Sus scrofa: one gene and its partners. The protein of the gene in region 3 interacts with the protein of the main gene of each other region in a biochemical or structural test. Links are inferred from orthologs where the notes say so. Each region holds a gene or a part of one and is shown on either strand. Other genes may lie near its edges. The genes, in order: ABL1, CHEK1, ATM, CHEK2, SMC1A, RBBP8 and EIF4EBP1.

The links.
Region 1: of the proteins of ATM (region 3) and ABL1, one has a biochemical effect on the other in vitro, tested with the Homo sapiens proteins (3 studies listed by BioGRID and IntAct, with this or other methods). The link is inferred for Sus scrofa from reciprocal best matches to the Homo sapiens genes ATM and ABL1.
Region 2: of the proteins of ATM (region 3) and CHEK1, one has a biochemical effect on the other in vitro, tested with the Homo sapiens proteins (2 studies listed by BioGRID, with this or other methods). The link is inferred for Sus scrofa from reciprocal best matches to the Homo sapiens genes ATM and CHEK1.
Region 4: of the proteins of ATM (region 3) and CHEK2, one has a biochemical effect on the other in vitro, tested with the Homo sapiens proteins (6 studies listed by BioGRID, with this or other methods). The link is inferred for Sus scrofa from reciprocal best matches to the Homo sapiens genes ATM and CHEK2.
Region 5: the proteins of ATM (region 3) and SMC1A form a complex in vitro, tested with the Homo sapiens proteins (2 studies listed by BioGRID and IntAct, with this or other methods). The link is inferred for Sus scrofa from reciprocal best matches to the Homo sapiens genes ATM and SMC1A.
Region 6: of the proteins of ATM (region 3) and RBBP8, one has a biochemical effect on the other in vitro, tested with the Homo sapiens proteins (4 studies listed by BioGRID, with this or other methods). The link is inferred for Sus scrofa from reciprocal best matches to the Homo sapiens genes ATM and RBBP8.
Region 7: of the proteins of ATM (region 3) and EIF4EBP1, one has a biochemical effect on the other in vitro, tested with the Homo sapiens proteins (2 studies listed by BioGRID, with this or other methods). The link is inferred for Sus scrofa from reciprocal best matches to the Homo sapiens genes ATM and EIF4EBP1.

The regions. Positions count from the first base shown.
Region 1 is NC_010443.5:270,897,641-270,901,140, reverse strand, and holds part of ABL1 (tyrosine-protein kinase ABL1), read right to left. Parts: intron 3,397-3,500; coding exon 3,244-3,396; intron 1,454-3,243; coding exon 1,364-1,453; intron 1,038-1,363; coding exon 873-1,037; intron 1-872. UniProt on the Homo sapiens protein: Non-receptor tyrosine-protein kinase that plays a role in many key processes linked to cell growth and survival such as cytoskeleton remodeling in response to extracellular stimuli, cell motility and adhesion, receptor endocytosis, autophagy, DNA damage response and apoptosis.
Region 2 is NC_010451.4:52,758,047-52,762,023, forward strand, and holds the start of CHEK1 (serine/threonine-protein kinase Chk1), read left to right. Parts: upstream 1-1,177; 5' UTR 1,178-1,300; intron 1,301-2,058; 5' UTR 2,059-2,078; coding exon 2,079-2,143; intron 2,144-3,977. UniProt on the Homo sapiens protein: Serine/threonine-protein kinase which is required for checkpoint-mediated cell cycle arrest and activation of DNA repair in response to the presence of DNA damage or unreplicated DNA.
Region 3 is NC_010451.4:36,619,581-36,623,563, forward strand, and holds the start of ATM (serine-protein kinase ATM), read left to right. Parts: upstream 1-1,183; 5' UTR 1,184-1,325; intron 1,326-1,584; 5' UTR 1,585-2,304; intron 2,305-3,983. Other genes in the region: protein NPAT, read right to left, coding at 695-731.
Region 4 is NC_010456.5:45,950,351-45,953,850, reverse strand, and holds part of CHEK2 (serine/threonine-protein kinase Chk2), read left to right. Parts: intron 1-1,272; coding exon 1,273-1,381; intron 1,382-3,500. UniProt on the Homo sapiens protein: Serine/threonine-protein kinase which is required for checkpoint-mediated cell cycle arrest, activation of DNA repair and apoptosis in response to the presence of DNA double-strand breaks.
Region 5 is NC_010461.5:46,192,149-46,195,648, forward strand, and holds part of SMC1A (structural maintenance of chromosomes protein 1A), read right to left. Parts: intron 2,332-3,500; coding exon 2,128-2,331; intron 2,035-2,127; coding exon 1,796-2,034; intron 1,019-1,795; coding exon 760-1,018; intron 676-759; coding exon 535-675; intron 1-534. UniProt on the Homo sapiens protein: Involved in chromosome cohesion during cell cycle and in DNA repair. Central component of cohesin complex. The cohesin complex is required for the cohesion of sister chromatids after DNA replication.
Region 6 is NC_010448.4:108,014,469-108,017,968, reverse strand, and holds part of RBBP8 (DNA endonuclease RBBP8), read right to left. Parts: intron 431-3,500; coding exon 277-430; intron 1-276. UniProt on the Homo sapiens protein: Endonuclease that cooperates with the MRE11-RAD50-NBN (MRN) complex in DNA-end resection, the first step of double-strand break (DSB) repair through the homologous recombination (HR) pathway.
Region 7 is NC_010457.5:48,422,501-48,426,373, reverse strand, and holds the end of EIF4EBP1 (eukaryotic translation initiation factor 4E-binding protein 1), read left to right. Parts: intron 1-520; coding exon 521-706; intron 707-3,099; coding exon 3,100-3,131; 3' UTR 3,132-3,373; downstream 3,374-3,873. UniProt on the Homo sapiens protein: Repressor of translation initiation that regulates EIF4E activity by preventing its assembly into the eIF4F complex: hypophosphorylated form competes with EIF4G1/EIF4G3 and strongly binds to EIF4E, leading to repress translation.

The DNA of each region.
Region 1 (3,500 bases), on a different chromosome or scaffold from region 3:
TCGTTAACCACTGCGCCACGACGGGAACTCCCAATTCCCTCAACTTTAAAACATTAACAGAGGTACATGATGACAAAGCTGGGCATCATGGGGGTCTACAGACTCTGCTGTGGCTAGACACCCCACAGCCCTGCCCTGTCCCTTCCCCTTCCCCCGGGTGTGGTCCGTCAGAGCATCCCCAAGGAGCTGCTACCCACCCAGGCGCCTGGTCCACCTCGGGCGTGTCCATTCATTGGCCTGACGGGAACCCAGACCTCCCAATTTCCTTTCCTGTCGGGGCTGAATCGGAGCGGCCTAACCCAGCGTCACGCCTGGCGCAAAGGAAGCATCGGACCCACACTTTCGAATGCTGTTCCTGGTAACATCCTAGGACCCTCCCGAACGGCTCCCACGCCCTCGCCGTGGGTCTAGGGAGCAGCCCCAGAAGGAGCCTCCTCTCAGACGAGAGGACACCAGCTCTGCCACAGGTGTCTCCTGGCTCTGTCAGTTCCAGGGAGCTTCTCGCTTTGCTGCTTTCGCAACAAGCTGCTCTTTGTTTGGTTCAGTATTTATTATTGCTGCATCTGCTCTGAAAGAGCAGCCACCAATGCTGTGACTAACACATGAAAGGGTGTGTTCGCTCTTAGTATGTTTCATAAGCACCTCTGCCTGTGTGACTAGACTAACAGCCACAGCCAGTGGCTCCTGAATGATTTGCAGAGGGAGCGCTTTACTGTGGGAGAAGAAGGATCTTCCTCTTTTTGAAGCTGGGCCACTAACGTGGGGTCCACTTGCCCTTCTGTGCAGGTTCCGCTCCCTGCTTCCCATCTGCCTGCACCGGCACCCGGCTCCGGGGCCAGCTGCCCTGGGCTCTGGCGGGGGTGGGGACATACCCGTCTCTCCCGGGCCCTTGGAGTGGGGCGTCTCGGGCACGTCTGGGGCGTCTTTGTGTTCGGCGGCTCTCCTGGCGGTCCTGGTCTTGGTGGGCAGTTCCGGGGCCTGCAGCAGAGGGCTCGCGGCCCCTCGCATGCCTTTCTTCCCCAGCTCCTTTTCCACTTCTAAGAACCACCGAAAAATCAATAACAAAACCAGGAGTCATCAGTATTGATGTCCTTTTGGTATGCTGGTTTTCCTTTTCTTTTTAAGACAGCAGTAGTCATCTATACACAGTTACAGAGAAGAGACACACATCCCGAAAAAGCAGCACCGGAGCAGACTTCAGAGTCCTGGCTGCCAAAGACAGAGGGCCACACTCAGCAGCTTGACCGCTGGCCCGTGCTCTCGACCAGGAGGGACTGAAGGACCGGGCTGGAGTCCCGCCCGGCCCTCCCTCCCACCCCACCCTCTCCCCCCACTGCAGGCACCCCAAGGACGGGCACATTACCATCTGATATGCTGGATTCCTGGAACATTGTTTCAAAGGCTTGGTGGATTTCCGCAAAGGAGGGCCGGTCAGAGGGATTCCACTGCCAACCTAGACAGATGAGACCCAAGCCGGACCACCCGTGAGGCTTTGCGAACAAGAGGAAGACTAGCAATCCTCAAGGCAAAGTCGAGAAACTGAAGAAGCATTCCGGTCCCGCTGGCCATCTTGTGCTGTGACAAGTTAAAGTGACGACTGCCACTGAGTCCTATTACAGACCCCGGGAATCTGAGACGACGTTGGGTACGGGCGGGAATGCGGATTATAACACAGGACAGCAACAAGTACATTTACAAAGATGTTTTTCCCAACCCGCCTCTAGCAAGTGCAGAGAATCACTAAACCAAATAGCTTGCTTCCTGTCCTAACCTTTCCTCGCAGTCACCAAAGTCTGAATTCCTCATCAGTAAAGACATGCTCCTTAAAACAAGACGAAAAGGAGATTAAGGACCGACGCAGCCCAGTGTAGGCGAGGCTGTAGCGTCCCCCTTACAGACTTCTGTTGGGAGTATAAACTAATATAACCTTTTTTACAAAACAATTTGGTAACACCTATCAACATTTTAAAATGCACAGAGCCCCCTGAACTACAGGTTCAACTTCTGCAAGACACCAGAATGCGCAGAGGCATACGTATCTACGAGGGAACTGGTTCCTGCCTTGTCCGTAAGAGCAAAAAACAAACAAATGTATACAGCAAACACATGTCCATCAAAGGAGGATGGGATGAATGAATAAATTACGCAATAGGTGCTGGGCAGCTACGTGAAGATAAGAGTGGGTGAAGGAGAAGGGGAAGAGCACGGGAAATCATGGGCGTGGAAAGAGACGCCCGCTACACTGCCAAGTGCAAAAAGGCTGAAGAAGTGAGTTTTTATCATACATACACACATATACGTACACATAAATACATCAAAAGCCGAGTGGACAGGAGTCCCCATTGTGGCTCCATGGAAATGAACCCGACTGGTATCCATGAGGATATGGGTTCAATCCCTGACCCCGCTCAGTGGGTTAAGGATCTGGCATTGCCATGAGCTGTGGTGTAGGTCGCAGACACGGCTAGGATCCCATGTTGCTGTGGCTGTGGTGTAGGCCGGAAGCTACAGCTCAGATTCAAACCCCCAGCTTGGGAACCTCCATGTGCCAGAGGTGTGGCCCTAAAAAGACCAAAAAAAAAAAAAGTTGAAGGAATGAATTTTTATATATACATACACACATATATATACATATTAATAAATTAAAAACTGAGTGGACAGGAGTTCACATTGTGGCTCAGTGGAAATGAACCTGACTGGTATCCATGAGGATATGGGTTCAATCCCTGACCCCGCTCAGTGGGTTAAGGAGCCGGCACTGCTGTGAGCTGTGGTATAGGTTGTAGATGCAGCTCGGATCTGGCATTGTGTGGCTGAGGTGCAGGCTGGCAGCTGTAGCTCTGACTTGACCCCTAACCTGGGAATTTCCGTGGGCCTCACTTGAGGCCCTAAAATAAATTAAACCACCACCAAAACCGAGTGGATGAAAATCACCTGGAATATTTACCTACTATACCAGCAATTTATATTTATTAATAAGAAACCCAGGTTTGGTATCCATCCACGTCACTTTTGCATTAAGAACAAACAAAAGACCCTCACATATAAATACTATGTAAAACTAAAGGTGCACAGACACACTGGAAAAGGTACAATGCTATGCGCCAAACTGTCACACGAGTTGTTTCTGAAGGAGGGAAGGAGAGGAAGCAAGCGAGCGCTTTGGCCTCGCCCTGCCCGGGTCTCCTCAACGCCCCCCGACCTGGGGAAGTCCCACGCTTCCCTTCCCAAAGGGAGGCTCACATGCTCGCATGAGTTCGTAGACCTTCTCCGGGCAGCCTTCCGGGCGCTCCATGCGGTAGTCTTTCTCTAGCAGCTCATACACCTGGGACAGGTCAATTCCTGGGTAAGGTGACATGCCGTAGGTGGCAATTTCCCAAAGCAAGACTCCAAACGCTAAAAGACAAAGAGCAAGAGCAAGACAGCTCAAGATGTGGGAGCTTTAACCACCGTGCACTGGAAAGCAGGAAACCGCGCCGCAGACGTCAGAAGCCACGCCC
Region 2 (3,977 bases), about 16 Mb from region 3:
CTGCCTGAAAAGTGTATACCTTATTTTCAGGCTAAGATACCTTAATTCTATCAAGATACAAAGAAGCTGTGCAGGTCCTCCTCTTCCTTTCTTCATATTCTTTGTCTGCAGCACACAGTGCCAAAACTGAAAAAAATGATGTGGAAAACTTACTTTAACAAAAGCCTAAACTGTGATGAGCATTTTGAAGTGTCCTGGTCTTGTTTTTCTGTCCCTGACTTTGCTTCTTTAAATCAAATGTTTGCATTTTTGTATAATATATTTTACACTTACTTTAGTCTATTGCCAGTATCACAATCAATAGCTATTTATGTTCAATGCATGCATGTGGCCCAGTTTTGAGAATTGGAGAACTTAATGGAGATGATCTGCCCTGTGCCTTGAGTTCCTAGTCTAATTTACTGTCAAGGGGGAGTAACTATTTCAGTTTTTCTACATGATTTTGTACTCCAGCCAGTCCTTTTCTCAGAATTGACTTTCCCACCTAAACAGGATACTCTGCTTTTAAACTTTGCATTGTAAAATGCGCAGCCTTTTTGCTTGTACCTGCCAGTTTCTTACACATTAATGAGAGAGCGGGTAGTACTAGGCTATGCAGTTGCACTTCCTTCAAAAAGGTTGGGTTGAGGTATTGTTTTGGAGGCAGCTTAGATAAGATGGGAAAACTGGTTATCCTGACATTACCTCAAAAATACAAGAGCAGCTTTATTCATCCTGACGCCTTCCCACCCCTTGCAGCCATTCTTTGATGCTTCTCTCTCCCAACACAAAAGTTACTTTCCTTCTTCACAAGATCAGTTCTCAACAGCTGTTACTAGCTTCTCAGCTCCGGTTTTACCTGGCCCACACCTTCAAGTAAGAGGCAACCCTTACTGAGTGTGACCCTCAACACCTTGCCAGGCAAGGGTTGGGGTGCCAGGAGGTCGGGGGCGGCGGGCAGCGAGCCCTGCGGTGCTTCAATCCCTTGGAACGCGAGGCCAGCCAGCCGAGGATACACGCCTGGTCCCACTTAGCGTTTGTGCCCAGAGGTCGTTCGCACTGATGAGGTCGGCAGTTCTTAAACCTCTTCAGCCAGGATCTCCTCCGATCTTAAGGTAATATTGGCTGGCGGGCCTGAGAACGCAGCGAAGAGCGGCGCGGACCCGAGGCGCGGCCAATCTGCAGAGCCCGAGAGCCCCAGAACGCGCGCTTCCTGCTTTACGGCAAGGGAGCGCGCATTTGCGACAATGTGACGCTAGCAAGTTTTGGCGGGAAAAGTCCTGCATTTGGATTCCTGTGGTGGCGGGCAAAGGACGGCCTGGTGAGGAGGGGCGGCCGGTAGAGTGGGAAAGGCCCCTGGAGCAGGAGTTCGGGGTCTATAAGACTTAGGAGGGGCACCGCGAGAGAACGTTCTCGGCGCCGAGCCCGGGGGATCAGAGAGACTCCCGCGGAGGGCGGTATCGGAGGGTGGAGGAGTGTGATGCCAGGAGGTCCTCGTTGTACAAGGACTGGAGAGACGACTCCTCTGCTGGCTGGGTGCCCCAGAGTTTTGGGCCCCGGCCGCACGCGAGCCACCCAGCCCTTCCTTCCGCCTCTTGGGGCAGTTTGGCCCCGCCCCGGGCTCCTCCTGGCCTTGGGGACGGGGTGTGGGTAGGAATTGGGAGTGAGCCGATGGGGAGGAGGGGCTGCGGTCGTGGCAGTTATTTCCTTCACTAGTCAGCATCCCTGACTCTGACCCAAGTTCTCACCTTTCACCCCTTTTCCTGGTCCCCCACGGTAAAGCACTGGTCCTCCCACTTCCCAATGCGGATAGCACATCTCCTCTGCCGCCTGGAATGCGGGGTTTCAGCCTTGGGTTTGTGTGGGAATGGGGATTGTGAGTTACCAACGAAATGCCAGAGTTCATAATACTTGCTTGTGCTTTAACGGCTTGGATAAAAATATGGATGAGATGTTAGGGGAAACCAGGAGCTGTGATTTATCTTGAAGAATCATGGCAAGAGGCGGAGCTCAGTGGCTTAAGAGATGATTGAAGTTTATCCTCATATGCCGTCTTTTCTGGGTTCCTGCCTTTTACAGCCGTGGGACTTAGTGGAGACATGGCAGTGCCCTTTGTGGAAGACTGGGACTTGGTGCAAACCCTGGGAGAAGGTGCCTATGGAGAGTGAGTTTGAGTCCTTAAACCCTGCCTTCACACTCGCTTTAGTTTCCTGTCGGTTGTTGTCTCCTTTGAGTACATGTTAGGTTTTTTGGAATATGTTTATTCTAACACAGTGGCACCTTAGAGAACAGATCTTTGCATTTGAAACCCAAAACTTTGGGGAACTGAAGCTACACAATCTTCTGTAAGGATTAATTATTTTTCTTCCTTATTTTTAAAAAGCATTTTTTGCCCAAAGAGCCAAAAGAGATTTCTGAAATCAGTTTCCTGCCACCATTCCTTCCTGGTGTTTAAGCTGGTGGTTAAATGAGCAAATGAACAGACTTGAGTCAGACTGCCTGGTTTCCAATCCTCACTTTGTCACATGCTCACCATTGTTTTGTGTTCTTAGGCAAGCTTTTTTTTTTTTTTTTTTTTTGTCTTTTTCCAGGGCTGCACCTGCAGTGTATGGAAGTTCCCAGGCTAGGGGTCTAATCGGAGCTGTAGCTGCCTGCCTACACCACAGCCACAGCAACACAGGATCCTTAACCCACTGAGCAAGGCCAGGGATTGAACTCGAAACGTCATGGTTCCTAGTCGGATTTGTTAACCACTGAGCCACAACGGGAACTCCTAGGCAAGCTTCTTAATGTCCTTGTTTGCCTCTGTTTCCTCAGCTATAATGTGGCAATAGTAGTACATATCCAGTAGGTATTTACAGCGATTACCGCAGATATATATAGAATGGGATTGATAAATGCTAGATAATATATTAAAATTAAATGAATAGAGCAAAAATGAAATCTTGCCATTAAGTTACAACATGAATGGACCTAAAGGGTATTATGCTAACTTTAAATAAGTCAGACAGAGAAAAACAAATATTGTATGATTTCACCTAATATATGGAACTTAAAAACAAAACAAATGAACAAACATAAAAGAGAAACAGTTTCGGAGAACAAACAGGTAGTTGCCAGAGGGGAAGGGGGGCTGGGAAAGAAATACGTGAGATACAAACTTCCAGTTGCAAAATAAATGTCTCCAGGATGAATTGCACAGTGTGGGCAATATAATCAATAACTATATAATACTTTTGTAAGCCTAATTAGACTTACCATGGAGATCATTTTGAAATGTATAGAAATACTGAATCACTATGTTGTAACAGGAACAAACATAGTGTAGATCAGTTATACTTTAAAAACAAACACACATAGAAAAATAGATCAGATTTGTGGTTACCAGAGTGGGGTGGGGGAGGGGAAATTGAAGACAGTCAAAAGGTACAAACTTCTAATTATAAATAGGTACTGGGGATGTAATGTACAACATGATGAATGTAATTGACAGGGTGTATGTTACATATGAAAGTTAAAAGGGTGAGATAGTAAGAGTTCTTAACACAAAGAGTTGTCTATTTCATGTTTGTTTGTTTTTTCTTTTTAAGGCTGTACCTGTGGCATATGGAAGTTCCCAGGCTAGGGGTGGAATCAGAGCTGCAGCTGCTGGCCTATATACCATGGCCACAGCAATACAAGATCTGAGTGGCATTTGTGACCTACTCAACAGCTTGTGGCTTGACCACATCCTTAACCCACTGAGCAAGACCAAGGATGGAACGCACTTCTCAGGGAAACTGCATCAGGTCCTTAACCTGCTAAGCCATGATGGGAACTCCCTTTTTTCTATTTCTTCCATTTTGTGTCTATATGAGTTGATGGATGTTCACTAAACTTATTGTGATAGTCATTTCATTGCTTTATGTCAACCATATCTCAGTAAAGCTAGAAGGAAAACAAATTAAATGAATAGAGCATGTGCATATGTGATGTGGCCTAGAACTGCTATTTTCTCA
Region 3 (3,983 bases):
ATACAATGTACCCTGACAACTGGCCGTGGAACTAAACTGTTTTCAAAATGAGGAAAAACTAACTAGGACTAGAAATGTTCAAATGGAAGGCATTTCCCCTGTGAAAATTCTTGTTAATTAAAAGAACCCGAGCTGCTGCCGTCAGAAAGTATGCAATTAGCGTTTCAAACCTCTACACTGGACGACTTCTTGCGGAGGGACGGGATAAGGAAGGAAGATCACCCATTCGTCCCAAATTCGCAGTTCTAAGGGCGAGTTACGAGAAGGGCGTCAGGAATGTCTTTCTACAAAGCTGGGGGGAGGGGGCTGGGGGAAGTCCCTCTCTTTCCTACTTTGGTCCCAATTCTGACAAAGTGCAGTGTGCCAAGGTGAAGCCGTCGGTGCATCACGTAGCAGCTTCCCGGCAGGGTCCTAATTAAGTGTAGGCCTGACTTTCCCTCCAATCCCGGCTTCAGGTGTTCCACTCCGGGCTTCCTTCAGCCTCTCCTCATCACGCAACCTCGAAGGAGAGGAGTGTCCACACACAAAGCCCGAACCGCCCGAGCCCCCGGCTGAAGAACCACCGCCAGCCTGAACTCGGAGACGGGGAGGCAAAGCCCCAGAGCTTCCCTCCCTGGGGAAACCTTTGGCCCCGAGGGTCCTTCCGTCCAGCTCAGCCCGGTCCGGTCTCCCTCTCTACCGCGTCAACGCTTACCCAATACCAGCCGGGCTACGTCCGAGGGTAGCAGCATGATCCAAGCCGCAGGAGTACCCGCAGTGAGAGACGAGACTCAGGTAAAAGCCAACAGCGACGGCTCCTGCGCCGCATCTCCCGGTCCCGGTGGCGGCACTGAACCCCGCTGCAATTTGTCCCGCCTCTTTTGCTCCACGCCAGCCAATCGCTTCCGCGGGAGAAAGAAAGGCGCCGAAATGAAACCCGCCTCCGTTCTCCCTGGCACTGACGTCATTTCCGTGCTCACGTTTGGCGGGTGGGGTCAAGGGGGCGAGGAGGCGGGGCGCGAGCGTTGGAGACCAAGCCGCAGGGAGAGCGTGGCTGCAGGGTCGCATGCCATTGGCAGACAGTGCGCAGGCGCGTTCCCTTCCGAGCCCGGTGTTTTGGGAGAGTGTTTGGTGTCCGGCGCGCGTGGGCGGACCGTACCCGAACGCTCCGCACCTCTACCGCTTCCGCCCGGGACGCACGCTGCGTGGCCACGCTGAGTTTGGTCGGAAGCGGGATCAGTGCGTGGACAGGTGGCTCGGGCTGCTGCTGGGAGTGGAGCGGGGATTTGGTCTGCGGCTACGCCGCCACCAGGGATTCCACTTGGTTGTCCAGTCCAGCCGTCTTGGTGCGTAAGCCGTGTAGTGGCGTCTGCGTTGGGGAATTAAGATGCCTCCGGGCCGCTCTGTCCCAGCCCCCATATGCGCCCCTTTACTCCTCTCCCCACCTCATCTTGACGGGACTCTGGTACTCATTGCTTTCTCCAGCTCTCTTTTCGTGCCTCTGGTGGACTTAGCCTTGAACCTTCCTGTGCGTCCCCTGCCTCTGTGCCCAGAAATTAACTAGATGGCTTAACTAATCATCTTTTTCTCCCCTGTCATAATTAGTAGTTTAAGTCAACGAGTGATTCGTTGAGGCTTAAACTGAAGTTTCGTGGTTAAGAGCTTGGGCTCTGGAATCACACTCCCGGAGTTGGGGTTCTGTCAGCTGGCTGTGTGATCTCGCTGTACCATCTATCTCGTCATCATCCTATCCTGTGTCACCACTCAAGAGTGTTTGCTGTTTTTTACCAGGTACAGAGAAGTAAAAAGACTGTTACAATTCAGAGTGATAATGTGATAGAAGAACATTGTGATGGAAGAGGAGTGAATGAAGTTCTGTGGAAACGGCCTGGGAGAATCAGTTTCAGTTTGCAGTGAGATTTCAGTGTTAAACTGCCCTGGAGGGAGGTGGGAGCCTTACAGACAGAAGGGTAAATGCATATGAAGGCATAACGTGTGGAAGGTTCCTGAAGCTCTAGGGAGAGCCTCACAGAGAACATTACCCGATATTCTGTGGTAATCTATGTTGGAAAAGAAATGGAAAGAGAATGGATGTGTGTACATGTATAACTGAATCACTTTGCAGTACAGCAGAAGTTACCACAACATGTGAATCAACTGTCCTTCCATAAAACTTTAAAAAATGGAAAAAAAGGAGAAGAGAGAGGTCCTGCATGTAATGAAGTACATTTGGGCATTTTCAACATGTTGAACATATGCTCTTACTGGGATATGGTCTTAACTGGGAGAAAATTGAGAAGCAAGGAGACAAGGATATTCTTTCAGGTGTGGGTGGAAAAAGAACCATTAAAAGAGATGCGAAACAGAAAAGAAGGGAATAATGATAATTGCTGATATTTATTGAGCATTTGCTATGTCCCAGGCAGTGTGTTAAACATGTACATCAATCTTTAAAGTAACTTTGAAGTTCTAGTTCAATTCTAATGTGGTTTTTCATTTTATCATTGAGAAAACTGAGGTTTAGAGAGATTAGCTAGTTGGAGTTCCTGTCGTGGCACAGCGGAAATGAATCAGGCTAGGAACCATGGAGTTGTGGATTTGATCCCTGGCCTTGCTCAGTGAGTTAAGGATCCAGCATTGCTGTGGGCTGTGGTGTAGGTTGCAGATGCAGCTTGGATCCTGCATTGCTGTGGCTCTGGCCTAGGCTGGCAGCAATAGCTCCTATTAGACCCCTAGCCTGGGAACCTCCATATGCCGTGGATGTGGCCCTAAAAAGACAAAAAAAAAAAAAAAAGAGAGAGAGATTAGCTAACTGCCCAAGTTACATAGTTTGTAAGTGCAGGACCAGGGTATGAACTAGTGCAGTCTGACTACAAAGCCCACACTCTTAGCATTAGAAAAAAATGGCATGGTGGTCTTTTGTGCTGCAGCGGGTTAAGGATCTGGCATTGTCACTGCAGTGGCTGTATTGCCACTGTGGCTTAGGTTTGATCTCTGGCCTGGGAACTTCCACATGCCACAGGCACGGCTCCCCAAAAAAAGATGGCGTGCTAAGGGCAGAATTAGATCCAGAAAGATATGGTATAAGCATCATTGTCAAATTCTGCAAAGGGATCATTTTGGTTGAGATCTGAAAAGGAACAATGGATTTGCCAATTCAGAGGGTGTTACTTAGGAAATATGTGTTATACCACTTGCATCTTGGAAGTGGAGCCTAGATGTATTAATTGGATTAATGTATTAATTGAATTCAATTTTACCTGATGATACTCTTACTCTAGCTAACTACTGTCTTACTCTAGCTAACTACTGTCTTGTTCCTTTAGTTGTCTTTCATTTCCTCCAACATTGCAGTTTTCCATTTTAGAGCTCGCTGGCTGTGTTTCTCCTCTAAGATGTTGGTTCTCTCGCTCTTTCTGTGCCTGGCACCAGTTTATTCAGATCTTTTAACCCCCTGTAATATGTGTTCCTTAATAGGTTATAAAAAATGATCCTCTACATTGGTATTTTATTTCATTTGTCTTTTCAGGGCCTCATCTGTGGCATATGGAAGTTCCCAGACTAGGGGTTGAATCAGAGCTGCAGCTGCTGGCCTACACCACAGCCACAGCAATGGGGCATCCAAGTCGTGTCTGTGACCCACTCCACAGTTCATGGCAATGCTGAATTATTAACCCACTGATCAATGCCAGAGATCGAACCCACATCCTCATGGATACTGGTTGGGTTCATTACCACTAAGTCACAGTGGGAACTTTGCTATCCATTGATATTATATATTTTCTTCCTATGAGACATATATCACAATTTGGCATTAGGCATTGATTTATAAGTGCACTTTTTATTGTCACTCTCTCCCACTAATTATAACTCCAGGAGAGTAGGGTTTGTGTCTATTTAGTTCATTATATGTCTAGCTACCTCTAACACAGTACTTGGAACACCGTAGTTTCCCAGTAAAAGTCGTTGTGTGTATCAGTTAATGAACATCTCTTGTTTATATA
Region 4 (3,500 bases), on a different chromosome or scaffold from region 3:
ATGAAGAGAGTGAAATACAACCCATAAAATGAAAGAAAATATTTGCAAATGAGTTATCTGGTTAGGATCTAGTATCCAGAATAGATAGAACTCACCAACAAGAAGATTAACAACCTAATTTAAAAATGGACAAAGGATTTAAATAGAGGTTTCTCCAAAGAAATACAAATGACCAAAAACCATGTAAGATGCTCAGTGTCATTAGTCATTAGGGGAGTGCAGATCAAAACCACAGTGAGATGCCATTTCACACCCACTAGGGTGGCTGTAATAAAAAAAAAAACAGAAAATGGCAAGTGTTTGTGAGGATGCAGAAACATTGGAAACCTCATACCCTGCTGTTGTGAATGTAAAATGGTACAGCCACTGTGGGAAATAGTTTGATGTTTTCTCAAAAAGTTAAACAGAATTACCATATGACCCAGCAGTTCCCCTTTAGGTATATACCCCCAAAATTGGAAACAGATGTTCAACAAAAGCTTGTGCATGAATATTCACTACAGCTCTTTTCACAGTAGTGAAAAGGTGGAAACAACCTAAGTGTCCATCTACCAAAGAATGGATAAACAAAATGTGATATATACATAAAATTGGCTGTTATCTAGCTATAAAAAGGAATGAAATGCTGGTACGTGCTGCAGCATGGATGAACCCTCAAAACATTCTAAGTGAAAGTAGTCAGGAGTTCCCTGGTGGCTCAGGTTCCTGGTGTGGCAATCTGGGGTGACTTAAATCTGTATCACTCAGCTCAAATAAGTCTGTACCACTCAGCCCAAAAAAGTAGAATTTCGAGCTGACTCAGTGTTGGATGGTCCCCATTCACTTATTCCCTTGATATTTTATCTTGGTGAGGTTCTACTATGTTCTTTGAAAATAGTGGAAGGGTTGTATATGGACTGTGTTTTCGTTTGTTTGTTTTTGTCTTTCTGTCTTTCTTAGGGCCGCATTGGTGGCATATGGAGGTTCCCAGACTAGGGGTCCAATCAGAGATGTAGCTGCCGGACTACGTGAGAGCCACAGCAACACGGGATCTGAGCCTCATCTGCGACCTACACCACCTCATGGCAACACCAGATCCTTAATGCACCGAGTGAGGCCAGGGATCAAACCTGTGTCCTCATGGATGCTAGTCGGGTTTGTTAACCACTGAGCCAAGACAGGAACTCCTGGACTGTGTTTTAATTTAAGATAATTGAGGCCAATTCAGGAGCGGTGTGTCTCAGGATTAAAAGCATTCTAATAATCAGTCACTTTCTGCCTTTTTCCCTGTAGCGGTGCCTGTGGTGAGGTGAAACTAGCTTTTGAGAGGAAAACTTGTAAGAAAGTAGCCATAAAGATCATCAGCAAAAGGAAGTTTGCTATTGGCTCTGAGAGAGAGGCAGTAAGTACCTGTGTTTGTGGCTGTTGGGTTGGTCTTAATGCTTCTTAACTTCCCCAAATAATTTCAGACTGGTGATTTTCAGTGTTAGGAATTTGTATCGAAGAATGTTGGACATTTTTTTTTTGCTTTTTGTTTTTGTTTTTTTTGTCTTTTTAGGGTTGCACCCCGGCATATGGACCTTCCCAGGCTAGGGGTCTAATCGGAGCTACAGCTGTTGGCCAACACCACAACCACAGCAACTCCAGGTCTGAGCCATGTCTGCAACCTACACCACAGCTCATGGCAATGCCAGATCCTTAACCCACTGAGCGAGGCCAAAGATCGAACCAGCAACCTCATGGTTCCTAGTCAGATTCGTTTCTGCTGTGCCATGATGGGAACTCCCTGTCTTTTTTTTTTTTTCAGGGCCGCTCCCACAGCACAAGGAGGTTCCCAGGTTAGGGGTCGAACCATAGCTGCCAGCCTACACCACTGCCACAGCAACGCCAGATCTGAGCTGATCTTCCACTCACACGCAGTTCATGGCAATGTCAGATCCTTAACCCACTGAGCGAGGCCAGGGATCAAACCTGTGTCCTCATGGGTGCTTGTCAGATTTAATTCCCCTGAGCCATGGTGGGAACTCCCAGAACACTGAACATTTTTGAGTGTATCCAACTAATCTAAACACAGATAATTGGGTTCCAAAAATACTTGGTTGTACAGAATAATATACATAGCAGGAACTTGTTTTTGTTTTTTTTTTCCTTCCAAGTTGTTACAAGACTATTTTTACAATAAATGAAAGGAAATTAGGGGAAAAAAATCCAGCTATGTCCCTGCCACTGTAACCCCACAGCTGTTTTCAGTTTTCCCTTTCTTTCTAGTCTTTGTTCATATGAATTCATGTTTCTAGATGGTTGAGATCATGTTATACATACAATTTTGAATTTTGCTTTTCCACATAAGCACTAATGCATAAACTTTCCTCATATCTTTTTTGATGATTGGGTCTCTATTTCACCAACTTTTTCATAATTTATTCAACCATTTCTCTGGCTGATGATTTAGATCATTTAGATAATTTTGAATTCTTTGCTTTTCTTGGTAACATGACAATATATACCTGTGTGTTTATAGATTTTTTAAAAATCATGAATTATTTTAATGCTTTCTTTATATGGTAACCATTTTATTACATTTTCTTTTTTCTTTTTTTTTTTTTTGTCTTTGCCTTTTCTAGGGCCGCTCCCGCGGCACATGGAGATTCCCAGGCTAGGGGGCTAATCGGAGCTGTAGCTTACACCACACCCACAGCCACAGCAACTTGGGATCCGAGCCGTGTCTGCAACCTACACCACAGCTCATGGCAACGCCGGATCCTTAACCCACTGAGCAAGGCCGGGGATCGAACCCACAACCTCATGGTTCCTAGTCGGATTCATTAACCACTGAGCCATGACAGGAACTCCTATTACATTTTCTTTAATACACACTGTGTTGGTGAAATGGCCACTGTATTGGTATTTCAATACATGAACCAACGAAGTAATACAAAATGTGGCCTCTAATCACGTTTTCCATGGCCAGCTGTTTCTGGCTATTATACTTTAACATTCTTTAAAGATCAATTTTTTTTTTTTTCCCTAGACAATGCCATTCTTATATAGCAAGAGGAATTTCCTTTTGGTGTTCACTTCATTATAGATCTTTCCCCTGTGATTCTGAATTTGTTTCCCATGGGGGAGGGGGTGGTGGGAACTAACCTACCAAATACTTAATGACTTGGAACACAACTTTATTTCTTAATTTCATCTTTCAAATCCTATCGGACTCCTTAGACCTCTTTATCATCAGAGTACACCCTGACTTGGTAATGAGTTTAACGGCTTACAGGAAGAGGCAGGCTTTTAAAATTAAACATCTGGGTTTCTTCACTGAAGTCCATTTAACATAAATATGTAACTCTATATCCTCTTTGCTTGTGGAGGGTGTAGCCTGTGAGGTTGAGTAACTTGATTCATCCTTTTGGAATTGTAATGGAGAGCAACTTTGCTACCCTAAGCTTCCTCTCATTGAAAGTCTCAGTAAATATCCCAGCTTGCAGTTGAAATTGGAACCTGGGTTTGCTCTATTATTA
Region 5 (3,500 bases), on a different chromosome or scaffold from region 3:
GCTCTCAGGGTACTATAATAACTTTCTATTATTCCTATTATTTTACTATCATTGTTATCAGTAACACAGTAAGTGAAGTATACTTGCAAGGGGGGGCTTTATTTTTTTGTGGGTTTTTCCTTTTTTTTTCCCCTCAGGGCTGCACCCGCGGCATATGGAAGTTCCCAGGCTAGGGGTCGAATTGGAGCTGTAGCCACCGGCCTACGCCATAGCCACAGCCACTCGGGATCTAAGCAATCTCATGGTTCCTAGTCGGATTCGTTTCTACAGCGCCACAACAGGAACTCCCAAAAAGTGTGAGCTTTAGAGCTAGACTGCCCAGGTTCATATCCCAGTTCTGTCACTTAATAACAACGTGGCCTTAGGTAAATTACTTCACCTCTATAAAAATGAGGAATGAGTGAATACATGTAAAAAACAGTGCCTGGCACACAGTAAGTGCTTGCTAGATGTTAGCTACTGTCATTACTGTTAAGACCATCATTATCTCCTTTGCTCTGGACCATCATCCCCAATCTTTTAAGGCATGCCCACCTCTGTCTCTACTTTCTTCCGCTCTTCCAGATCCAGCCGGTCCTGATCAGCCTTCTGGTCTCGATTGAACTTCTCCAGCTCCTGGGCCAGGGTAGCTGCTCTCTTGCTGGCTTCTTCTTTCAACCGGTGATATTTCTTCACCTGTGTGAGGGACAAAGAAGGAGGACGGGGATGACCATGTCAGCCCATCGATCTCTCCAGTCCCCCCAACCCCCAAGAGCTTACCTGATTTTCCTCCAGGGTCAAATCTCTGCCCTGACTCTGACTCTCCTCTTCCATCCGTTCCTCAAACTCCTGCCGAGCTTTCTCCACTGACAGCATCTCCTTTTCCAGCTCATCCATATCACCTTTACGTTTCTTGTAATGCTTTTGAGCATTCTGTAGGGACTTCTTGGCTGCTTCTAGCTTCTTGATTTTGTGAGAGGTATTCTCCTTGGCTTTGATGTACTGAGGCCGCTTCTGGTTCAGCTCTGAGTCCTTCTCCCTTTTGCCAGGGTTGGGGGAAACACCAGTTAGCACTGTGAGAGAAGGGAGGGGTCCCAGGCTTTTTAATCCAAAGGAAGCCTAAACCCCAAGCCAGCCTTAGGGAATTACCAAAAGAACAAGGGCCTGATGCCCCACAGATCCTCAAAGAAAGGGCTATTCCCTGGAACTGATGGTGTTAGCCTGGGATTCTAGCCATTTAAAAGGCAAAGCTACCCCCCTGCCTCAACCCTAGCCAGGCCAGGCCCCTTGGTAACAACTCCCAAGAACACCCTGTGTTCACCTCATTGTCTTCCATCTGATCTAAGCTTTTCTTTTTTGTTTTTGGCCAAACCCATAGCATATGGAAGTTCCTGGGCCAGGGACTGAATCTGAGACGCAGCTGAAATCTACATCACAGCTGCAGCAATGCCGGATCCTTTAACCCATTGTGCCGGGCCAGGGATCAAACCCATGCCTCCACAGCAACCCAAGCCACTGCAGTTGGACTAGTAACCCACTGTACTACAGTGGGAACTCCTGATCTAACATTTTGAAATTCCTGTCCTTTAAACTTCAAGTTTCGGTTTCCCTCTTCTAGGAAGGGACTGCCAGTCAGGAGTCTGAGTATTTAAATACTCTGTCTGCAAGTCAAAAAATGTGCTTGATTCTGGCAAAGCAAGTCAAGGGGAAGATAGAGAAACGAGTAGAGGCACTGGGCTCTGGGTTCACAGAAGCCCTAGGAAACAGCAGAGCCTCTTGGCTTCACACAAGTTACAGGCCAAGGCCTGCCACTTACTTGATCTCCTTCTCAATCTGCTGCTGCTCCCGCATCATTTTGCCCAGCTCCTTCTTCTTCTCCTTCAGCTCATCTTCTACCTTGTCCATCCGCTTCTTATCCTTCTCAATCTCCTTGTTCTTAGAGGCCAGTTCCTTGTTGAGCTTCTCGATTTCCACTTCATTATGATAAAGTTTGAAAAGTTGCAACTGTACCTGAGCTCGTACCACCTCATCCTTCAGGCGCTGGTAGCGGTCAGCCTGTGCAAATAGAGGCATGGAGGCAGGGGTGCATCAGTAAGGCACCGGCTTCACTCTGGCCTCTCAGAGCCCATAGGCAGCCTGGCCACCTACCTCTTCTTTTTCCTGTTTAGCCTCCTTGCGTTCAGCTGCAATATTTTTTTTTCGATGGTAGTTAAACTGCGTGTCCTCTTCAGCTTTTACCATCTCCTTCTTTCGCTTGTCATATTCCTGGGCCAGCTCCCCAGAGCGACTGATCTCTTCGAAAAGAGCTGTCCTCTCTTTGGGGTTCTTCATGGCAATAGATTCCACAGCACCCTAGTAAAGGTCAAAACACTCTCCCCATTTAGACTCCAGCCAGTCCAGTTCCCCCTACCCACTCCCATTCAATCATTCAGAAAAAGTTCACTGATCACTTCCCACATTAGGTGCCACATTTCACCACTGAACTTTGAGGACACACTCCCTGCCTTTTGAGGCAGACAGGGTACAGAAGAGCCAGAAGCAGAGACAACTCCGTGTGTTATGTGCAATAACAGCAGTAGCACAGAAAAAGGGCTAAATGAAGCTTGAGGATAAGAGACTGGTAGGGGTATCTCTATGTCTCCACGGGAAGGCTTCCCAAAGGTGACATCTAGGCTGAGTTTGGAAGATGGGGAAGACATTAACCAAGAAAATAAGAGAAATGAGGTTATTTAAAATAGAGGAAAATTAATATTGCAAAGGCCTACAGCCAAAGAAAGCAAGTTTGGGGAACTACAAAGGGTTTAATCAGGCTGGAGTGCAGGGCTAGAGGGGAAGAGTACTGGCAGATGAGGTTAATGAGATGAGCAAGAACCAAAGAGTGGTATTTCATGAATGACAGGGGTTGGATCTCATGCTATAGCAATGGTTCTCAAACTTTACTGTGCATCTTAATAACCTGGAGGGCTTGGGAAAACACAAATTGCTGGGCCCCACTCCATAGTCTCTGCTCCTATAGGTCAGGAGTGGCTTCCCATCACTTCCTCTTGCTTGGCAAAGCCACCACTTCTTTTAAGCTCTCCCTCTTCTGAGTTCCTACCTACCCTAATCCGATCTATTCTCAGGCACCTACCTATTCTGGTAGATGCCCGAGAACAGGGATTTCTAACGTGAGAATGTGGATTTCTAATATGTCCCCAGTTGATGCTGATGTGGAGACTTGAATTTGAGAAGTGCCATCAAAAGGCAATGAGAAATCACTGAAATGTTTTAAAGAGAGGAGCGAAAGAAACATATTTTTGCCCTCATAAAACAAACCAGAAGGGGGCAGGTGGAGTCGGGAAGCCCAGTGAAGAAGCTGTTAACATTAGTTCAGAGGAGGGACCATGATGCAGGCCCAGTGGGGCTAGGACAGAAAGCAGATAGCCAATAACTGTTAAAAATGCCCACCTGGAGTTCCCGCTGTGGCTCAGCAGTAATGAATCTGACTAGCATCCGTGAGGATGCACTTTCGATCCCTGGCC
Region 6 (3,500 bases), on a different chromosome or scaffold from region 3:
AGTTATTAAAAGTCATTTTGATAGGATAAAAAAATTACTTTCTGAAATTTGAACGATAAACCAAGATAATGCATACACAATCCCACTGGAGTGCTTATAAACAATATGATTCCAATGAAATTATTTGAAGAGGTTAAGTCTTTTATCTTTAGGATATTGTATTTGTCACAAAACTGGCACCCAACCTACAGAGAATCATGGAGAAAAAGTTTAATGTTTAGACTTGGGTATATACAGTATTAATTTTTTTTTTTTCAAAATGTTATAATCTCTTACCTCTTTCCATACAAGTCTGAGTGGAAGGAAAACCAACTTCCCAGAAATTCTCTGGTGTGCTGGGTGGAATGTAGCGAAATCGGTGTCTTGAGCAAGAAGCCAACTTCTTTTCTCTCTCTTCTGCTGGGAAATCTGCATAATACTGATAATAAAACTGGTAAGATTGCCACTCAGTAATAATGAATGCAGTGTCACTGATTATAAACTAGAAACTAAGAAAACTATTAAAGTATTCAGCATGCTAATATGGAAACTGAATTCTCACTGATAATGTTAGTAATTAATACTATCTGTAATTACTATTTGGAAATTACTGACAATAATTGGTGTGGGTCTGTGAAATGTTTGCTCCACATATGAGAAGGGAGCTTGTATCACCATGTAAACCAGGATACTGCTTCCTTTATCAATAAAATCTCACAATGAAAAAAAAAAAAGCTGGGAGTTCCTGTCATGGCTCAGTGGTTAACGAATCTGACTAGGAACCATGACGTTTCGGGTTCGATCCCTGGCCTTGCTTAGTGGGTTAAGGATCCGGCGTTGCTGTGAGCTGTGGTGTAGGTTGCAGACAAGGCTCGGATCCTGCATTGCTGTGGCTCTGGCGAAGGCGATTCAACCCCTAGCCTGGGAGCCTCCATATGCTGTGGGAGCGGCCCAAGTAATGGCAAAAAGACAAACAAAAAAAGGCCAAAAAAAAAAAAAAAGCCAGTTGAACTTTACAGTGTGCTTAGTGGTACAACTGATTTATATACTGGTGCAAACTCTCTATCTTTCTCATTCCAGCAACAAAAATGCTGAGGCCTGCACTCTGAATAGCATGTTTCTCAAATGTTATTTGGATATAACATGTGTTTTGAAGTAATTTTCCTATCACTATAATCATTTAAAATAAAAGTTTAGCCTTGAATGTTGTCGGCTTCATGACTTCCCCTTTAAACTATATTTTTCAACCACGATCAAAGGCATATTATTTTTTGCAACTGTGATCATAACTGAATTTCATGCAAAGAGAAAACTTCTATGTGAAAATTATACAGGTCTTTAAGCAAGCTCTAGATCTAAAGAAAACAAAGCAGTACAGTTTAATAGAACAGATGACAGGATCGCATAATCCCGCTAATTCCATTTTACACTTGAGAAACTGAAAATCAAAGTGATAAATTTACCAAAGTTATCACCTAGTGAAAGTGGTAGACTCAGGACTAGAATTTTTTTAAAGTAAAGTTTTTCAAAATATTTCTTTTAGTGGGTTAAGGATCCGGCATTGCCATGAGCTGTGGAGTAGGTTGCAGATGCGGCTTGGATCCCGTGTTGCTGTGGCTCTGGTGTAGGCTGCGGCTACAGCTCCCATTAGACCCCTAGGCTGGGAACCTCCATATGCTGAGGGAGCAGCCCAAGAAATGGCAAAAAAAAAAAGAAAGAAAAATTTCTTTTATGTAGGTTAAAGGTTTTAGAGTAATATCTCTAAAACTTTGTTTTTCCTGGTATCTTTTTCTTCATTCCCACTGCCATGAATATTAGCATTTGTCACCTTAGCCTGGGAACTGGGATTGGATGCCTTTAGAGAACCATGGTTACCAATCAATATTGGAGAAACAGTGCCACCAAATTACAACATATTTGAAAAGAACATTAAATGTAGCTGTAACACAGCAATCAAATGGGAGAGTACTGAAGATAAAGTTAGAGAGGAAGTGGAGTGTGAGCTTATTGTCCTTCATAAGGACTTTGACTCCATTTCTTACTAAGAAAGGAAGCCATTTAAGGATTTTGGACAGAAGAATGACATGATTTAACTTTTCTTCCAAAAAGATCATTTGGAAAAAGAGACTATTATTGTGTTGAAAGTACAATCAATGGAGTTCCTGTTGTGGCTCAGTGGTTAACAAATCTGACTAGGAACCATGAGGTTGCGGGTTCCATCCCTGGCCTTGCTCAGTGAGTTAAGGATCCGGCATTGCCGTGAACTGTGGTGTAGGTTGCAGACTCAGCTCAGATCCCGCGTTGCTGTGGCTGTGGTGTAGGCTGGCAGCTACAGCTCCAATTCAACCCCTAGCCTGGGAACCTCTATATGCCGCAGGAGCAGTCCAAGAAATGGCAAAAAGACAAAAAAGACCAAAAAAAAAAAAAAAAAGTAAGTACAATCAATGGGATTTGCTGACCGATATGTTTTTAACATAAAAAAAAAAAAAAAAGAGGACAACTACAAAATCTCTGGTTTAAACAACTAGAAGAATGGATATAGAAGGCTCAGAGGAAAGGTTCGAGAATTGGAGGTAGAAACTTTGCTTTTAGACATGTGAAATTTGAGATGACTATTACACATCCACATGTACTGCATATTCTACATGTGGACTAGGCAATGGAAAAATTTTAGGGTAAGCATATAGGCAATATTTAAATTTAGATACATGGGGCTGGCACTTTCACTCCTAGTCATGAGGGAGTTACAGGGAACAGATTTACCCTCTACCTTAAAAAACCAAAAAAAAAAAAAAAAAAGAAATAAAATGTATGAAATAGTGTTTTTAGAGATTGGGTAACAGCGCAAAAATGATTCCTGAGAGAAGGAAAGCAAATTAAGTCTCTAAAAAAAGCAAAAGAGCTTTTTTTTTTCTAATTGTACCAATTTCAGTTATAATTAAAATCTGGAAGTTTACTTAGAACAGACCATATTCCTTAGTTAAGAAATCATGATACATTTGATTTGTGTTACAAAAACTCATGATTCAGATTTTGCTTGTTATACCAAACTGCTTTTCAAAATACTGATCTCAAGTTACACTCCCACTCTTAAGAGAATGAGAGCCTATTTCTCACCAAATGCTTACCTGCTCTGTAATCTATTCTCACCTAACTTCAATGTGCTTTGTTATCAAATTTTCTGGCCATAGTTAATGAAAAAATTAAAAGGGGGAAGTACACTGATAGAAACAGGCATCCAACAGCTAAAGGACAGCAAGGGAAGAAATAAAAACAACATGTTTCAAGAAAACACAGAACCTGCCTGGACTATTTAGGACAATCAGAATATCCTTAAGTGGATACAGTCTAGAACACCCAATGTAAACTAATATCTGTGTAAACTAATATCTGTGTTCTAAGGATGAAGTAGAGCCTATTCATATTTTGTTTGGAAAGGAAAATTTGGGGGAAAAAAGAGCTTATGGTTGTACCAGTTGTTTAGAAAAAAACAATTATGAGTATTATCTCATTTCCTGAAT
Region 7 (3,873 bases), on a different chromosome or scaffold from region 3:
ACAAATCCAACTAGGAACCATGAGGTTGTAGATTCGATCCCTGGCCTTGCTCAGTGGGTTAAGGATCTGGCGTTGCCATGAGCTATTGTGTGGGTCGAATACGCAGCTCGGATCCCATGTTGCTGTGACTCTGGCGTAGGCCGGTGGCTACAGCTCCGATTAGACCCCTAGCCTGGGAACCTCCGTATGCTGTGGGAGTGGCCCAATAAAATGGCAAAAAGACAAAAAACAAAACAAAACAACAACAGAAATGTGTGGTCTCAGTTCTGGAGGCTGGAAGTCCGAGATCAAGGGGTTGGCAGGGTGGTTCCTTCTGAGGCTGTGAGGAAGAATTTGATCCAGCCTACTCCTCTCCCAACCCCCTGAGCTTCTGATGGTTTGCTTGCAATCCTTGATGTTCCTTAACCCTTGGCTTTTGTAGGAAAACCTGCCACCTGTGCTGCAGCCATACCTCAAAGAAGTAGGAAAAAGAGCAGGTGGGGACTTCGAGATGCTTAACAGTATTCCCACCCCCTTCCAGGTACCAGGATCATCTATGACCGGAAGTTCCTAATGGAGTGTCGGAACTCACCTGTGACCAAAACGCCCCCGAGGGACCTGCCCACCATTCCCGGGGTCACCAGCCCTGTGGGTGATGAGCCCCCCACAGATGCCAGCCAGAACCACCTGCGCAGTAGCCCAGACGACAAGCCGGCGGGGGCGGGCGGTGAGTGCAGGACTTGGCCAGGCTCTCCCTTGGGAAGGAACATGTGTGGTCCCATCCGCTGGGGGGAGTTCAGGGAAAACACTGGCGATCACCCCACCCTCCATGGAGCAGCCCAGAGCCCAGAGGATGGAGGTAGGGATGGAGCATAGAGTTTTCATCCCAACCAGCTTTCCCCATGAAAATGGCCCAGGAACCCAGGAAAGGCCATCATCTGGCAACTCACTAGTGGGGAGCTTGTTTGAAACAAGAGGGGACCACACAGCCACTTTGCTAACCTTTATATAGTTGTCCCTGAAGCATTTCCAGGCGACTGCAACACTTGGAACATACCCACGATGTTCCTGTGCTGGAGGTGACCTATCAAAGGCCCAGTGTCCTCGCCCTCTAGGAAATTACATGTCTGTATCAGAAAGGCTTCTAGGATGCCTTCTGCTAGGGTGTTGTCTGTAGTAGATTCTTGATGAACAGAGGAGAAACAGTGCAACCGGTTTCTTTTGTTTTTTTGTTTTTCCTTTCCTTTTTAGGGCCACACCCACAGCATATGGAAGTTCCCAGGCTAGGGGTTGAATCGGAGCTGTGGCCACTGGCCTGCGCCACAGCCACAGCAACATGGGATCTGAGCCGCATCTGCGACCTATACCACAGCTCACAGCAACGCTGGATCCTTAACCCACTGAGCGAGGCCAGAGCTCAAACCCGAATCCTCCTGGATACTAGTCAATTCTTAACCTGAGCAGCCACAAGGGGAATTCCGCAACCAGTTGTTTCTGCAGGTTTGACACAGTAGCTGGGTCCTTCCTGGTGTTTGTTCTCTCCATCCCCCACCTCCATCCTCCCAAGTCATCAGAGCAGCCACCCTGGCAGAGGTGAACGCAGTCTGTGGCATTGGGACTGGCTGGCCCCGGGCATCTAAGTGCTCCTGCTGCAGGAGGATGCAGCATAAGCACTTGCAGACAACCTGAGTCAGCGGGCAGCCTGCTGACCCTTTATCTGGAAGGCAGTGCACCAAGCCCAGACAGGAAGCAGCTGGGACCTCAGGCTGGGCTGGCCCTGCTGAGAGCAGCAGAAGCCATCTCCCCAGGGCCTGCAGGACATGATTCATATTTACCTTGGGAACCCTACCACCCAAGACAGGCTGGTTGCCTCACCCTCAGACAAGGAGAGCAGGGGGTGGAAGGGCGTGGACTCAGACACACAGGGAGCATGAGGAGGGCAACTGAAGACTGGAAGTTGAGGATGGAGGTTGTCAACACCTGACATTGCTGCATCACTCTCACCTGGTCCGTTGCCCCCACTTGTACTCCCTCTTCCCTCCCAGTTTCTAGAGCTGTTCTGTCCCACAACAAATGGAGGGTGGCCCAGCAGTGCCCCCAGGTGGACCACTCTGACCCCACAATCATGGCCTAGTGTTCCCCACAGTTGCTGGGTTGGGGTTTAGTGGAGGGGGGTGCCAGCATGATTTTCTCTTTTGCTTAACTGGATATAAGAAGCCAAGGGACCAAGAATTCCTGTTGTGGCTCAGGTTAAGAACCCAGCATAGTGTCCGTGAACTGCCCTAAAATGTGATGTGGATACATCATTGCCATGACTGTGATATTGGCTGGCAGTTGCAGCTCAGATTGGACCCCTTGCCTAGGAACTTCCCTATGCCGCAGGTGCAGCCCTAAAAAAAAAGAAAAGAAAAGCAACCCCCTGCAGCATGAATTACTTGGAAATGGTAATGGTGAGAGTTGGGTGAGGGCAGTGAGTGGCTAAATTACCCAAATAACTGCCATACCACAGGGTCAGGCTGGGTCAGGCTGTTCCACACACAGTGGGATATATGCCTGGTAGGTTAGGGTACTGTTTTCTAAACAAGAAGTTGGGACATGTGCTCAAAAGGGTTTTATGTTTAAGGAATATTTGTCTGTGAAGTTGTATATATTTCAAATCACAAGGAACCATTCACACTTATTAAAAATGATACATTTAGAGTTCCCTGGTGGCTCAGTGGGTTAAGGATCTGGCATTGTCACTGCTGTGGCTTGGGTTACTACTGTGGCACAGGTTTGATCCCTGGCCCAGGAACTTCCGCATGCCATGGACACAGCCAATGATAATAATAGTAGTAGTAATAATAATAATGCCTATATGGAATTCAGGGCTGTCACCTCTCCTGCTGGGAGATGTGGTCTTTGCTCTGCCTTTAAGACTTGAGGAAGGGAGCACAGCTGGACATGTATTTCCAGGAATTCCTGGTCCCACCCTTCCTCTGTTCTTGGCAGCCCAAACCTGGCCCCTGCTCTGCTGGTAGGGACAGAAGAATGGGAAGTAGTGCCTTTTCCTGGCCTCTAGAATGTCAGCCCTGCCCAATTCCTTTTGCTCACCTGACCCTCTGTTCCTTCTCTCCCCAGGTGAAGAGTCACAGTTTGAGATGGACATTTAAAGGACCAGCCATGGGATCGAGCAATGCCTCTGGGCCCCAGTGGCCCCTTTTGGGAGAAGGATCCCACCAGCCAGGCCTTATGAAAGTTGCCATCCTGGGCAGGCGTTGGGCGTGGGGTCGGCTGCCCCAGCCCCCTGCTTCCTCACTCAGGGCACCTGCTCCCCCTTCTTCATGAACACCAGCAGATACCTCCATGTGCCTCCACTCCTGCAGGTGCTGTCACCCCAAGAGGAGTGACCTCAGGCACACCCTGCAGCCCAGGGCCAGCTCGTGGACTCGGAGGAGCCCTTCTGAATGGTCCTCTAGCTCTTCCAGCATCCTCCTGGGGGGGGGTGTGCCCACCCCTTCCTTAGGTTGGTGTATGGAAATGCTCCCATCCCTCTCTCTTCCCAAGAAAGGAAATAAAAGCCACCTTTGCCCTAGGGCCAAGAATTGGCCCCTGTCTGAGCTCTTTTCATTCCATATGGATGGCTAACGCCAATGTCACATGCATAGTGCCCATCATGCACTTTCTATGCCTTATCTCATTTGACAGTGGCACGGATCCCATGGGGGTAAGTAGAGCAAGTGTTATCGTCACTGTACGGCTCAGAGAAGTTGGCGTCACACACGGGTTGATGACAGGTGGGGCTGGCCTGGAGCTGTGCTACTCTCCATCTCCTGTTTTTCAGTGATGGGTGATACCTCTATTCTGGGCTGTGTCTCCCCCCCACCCCCAGGTGTGCCCAGTGACTGAGTCACC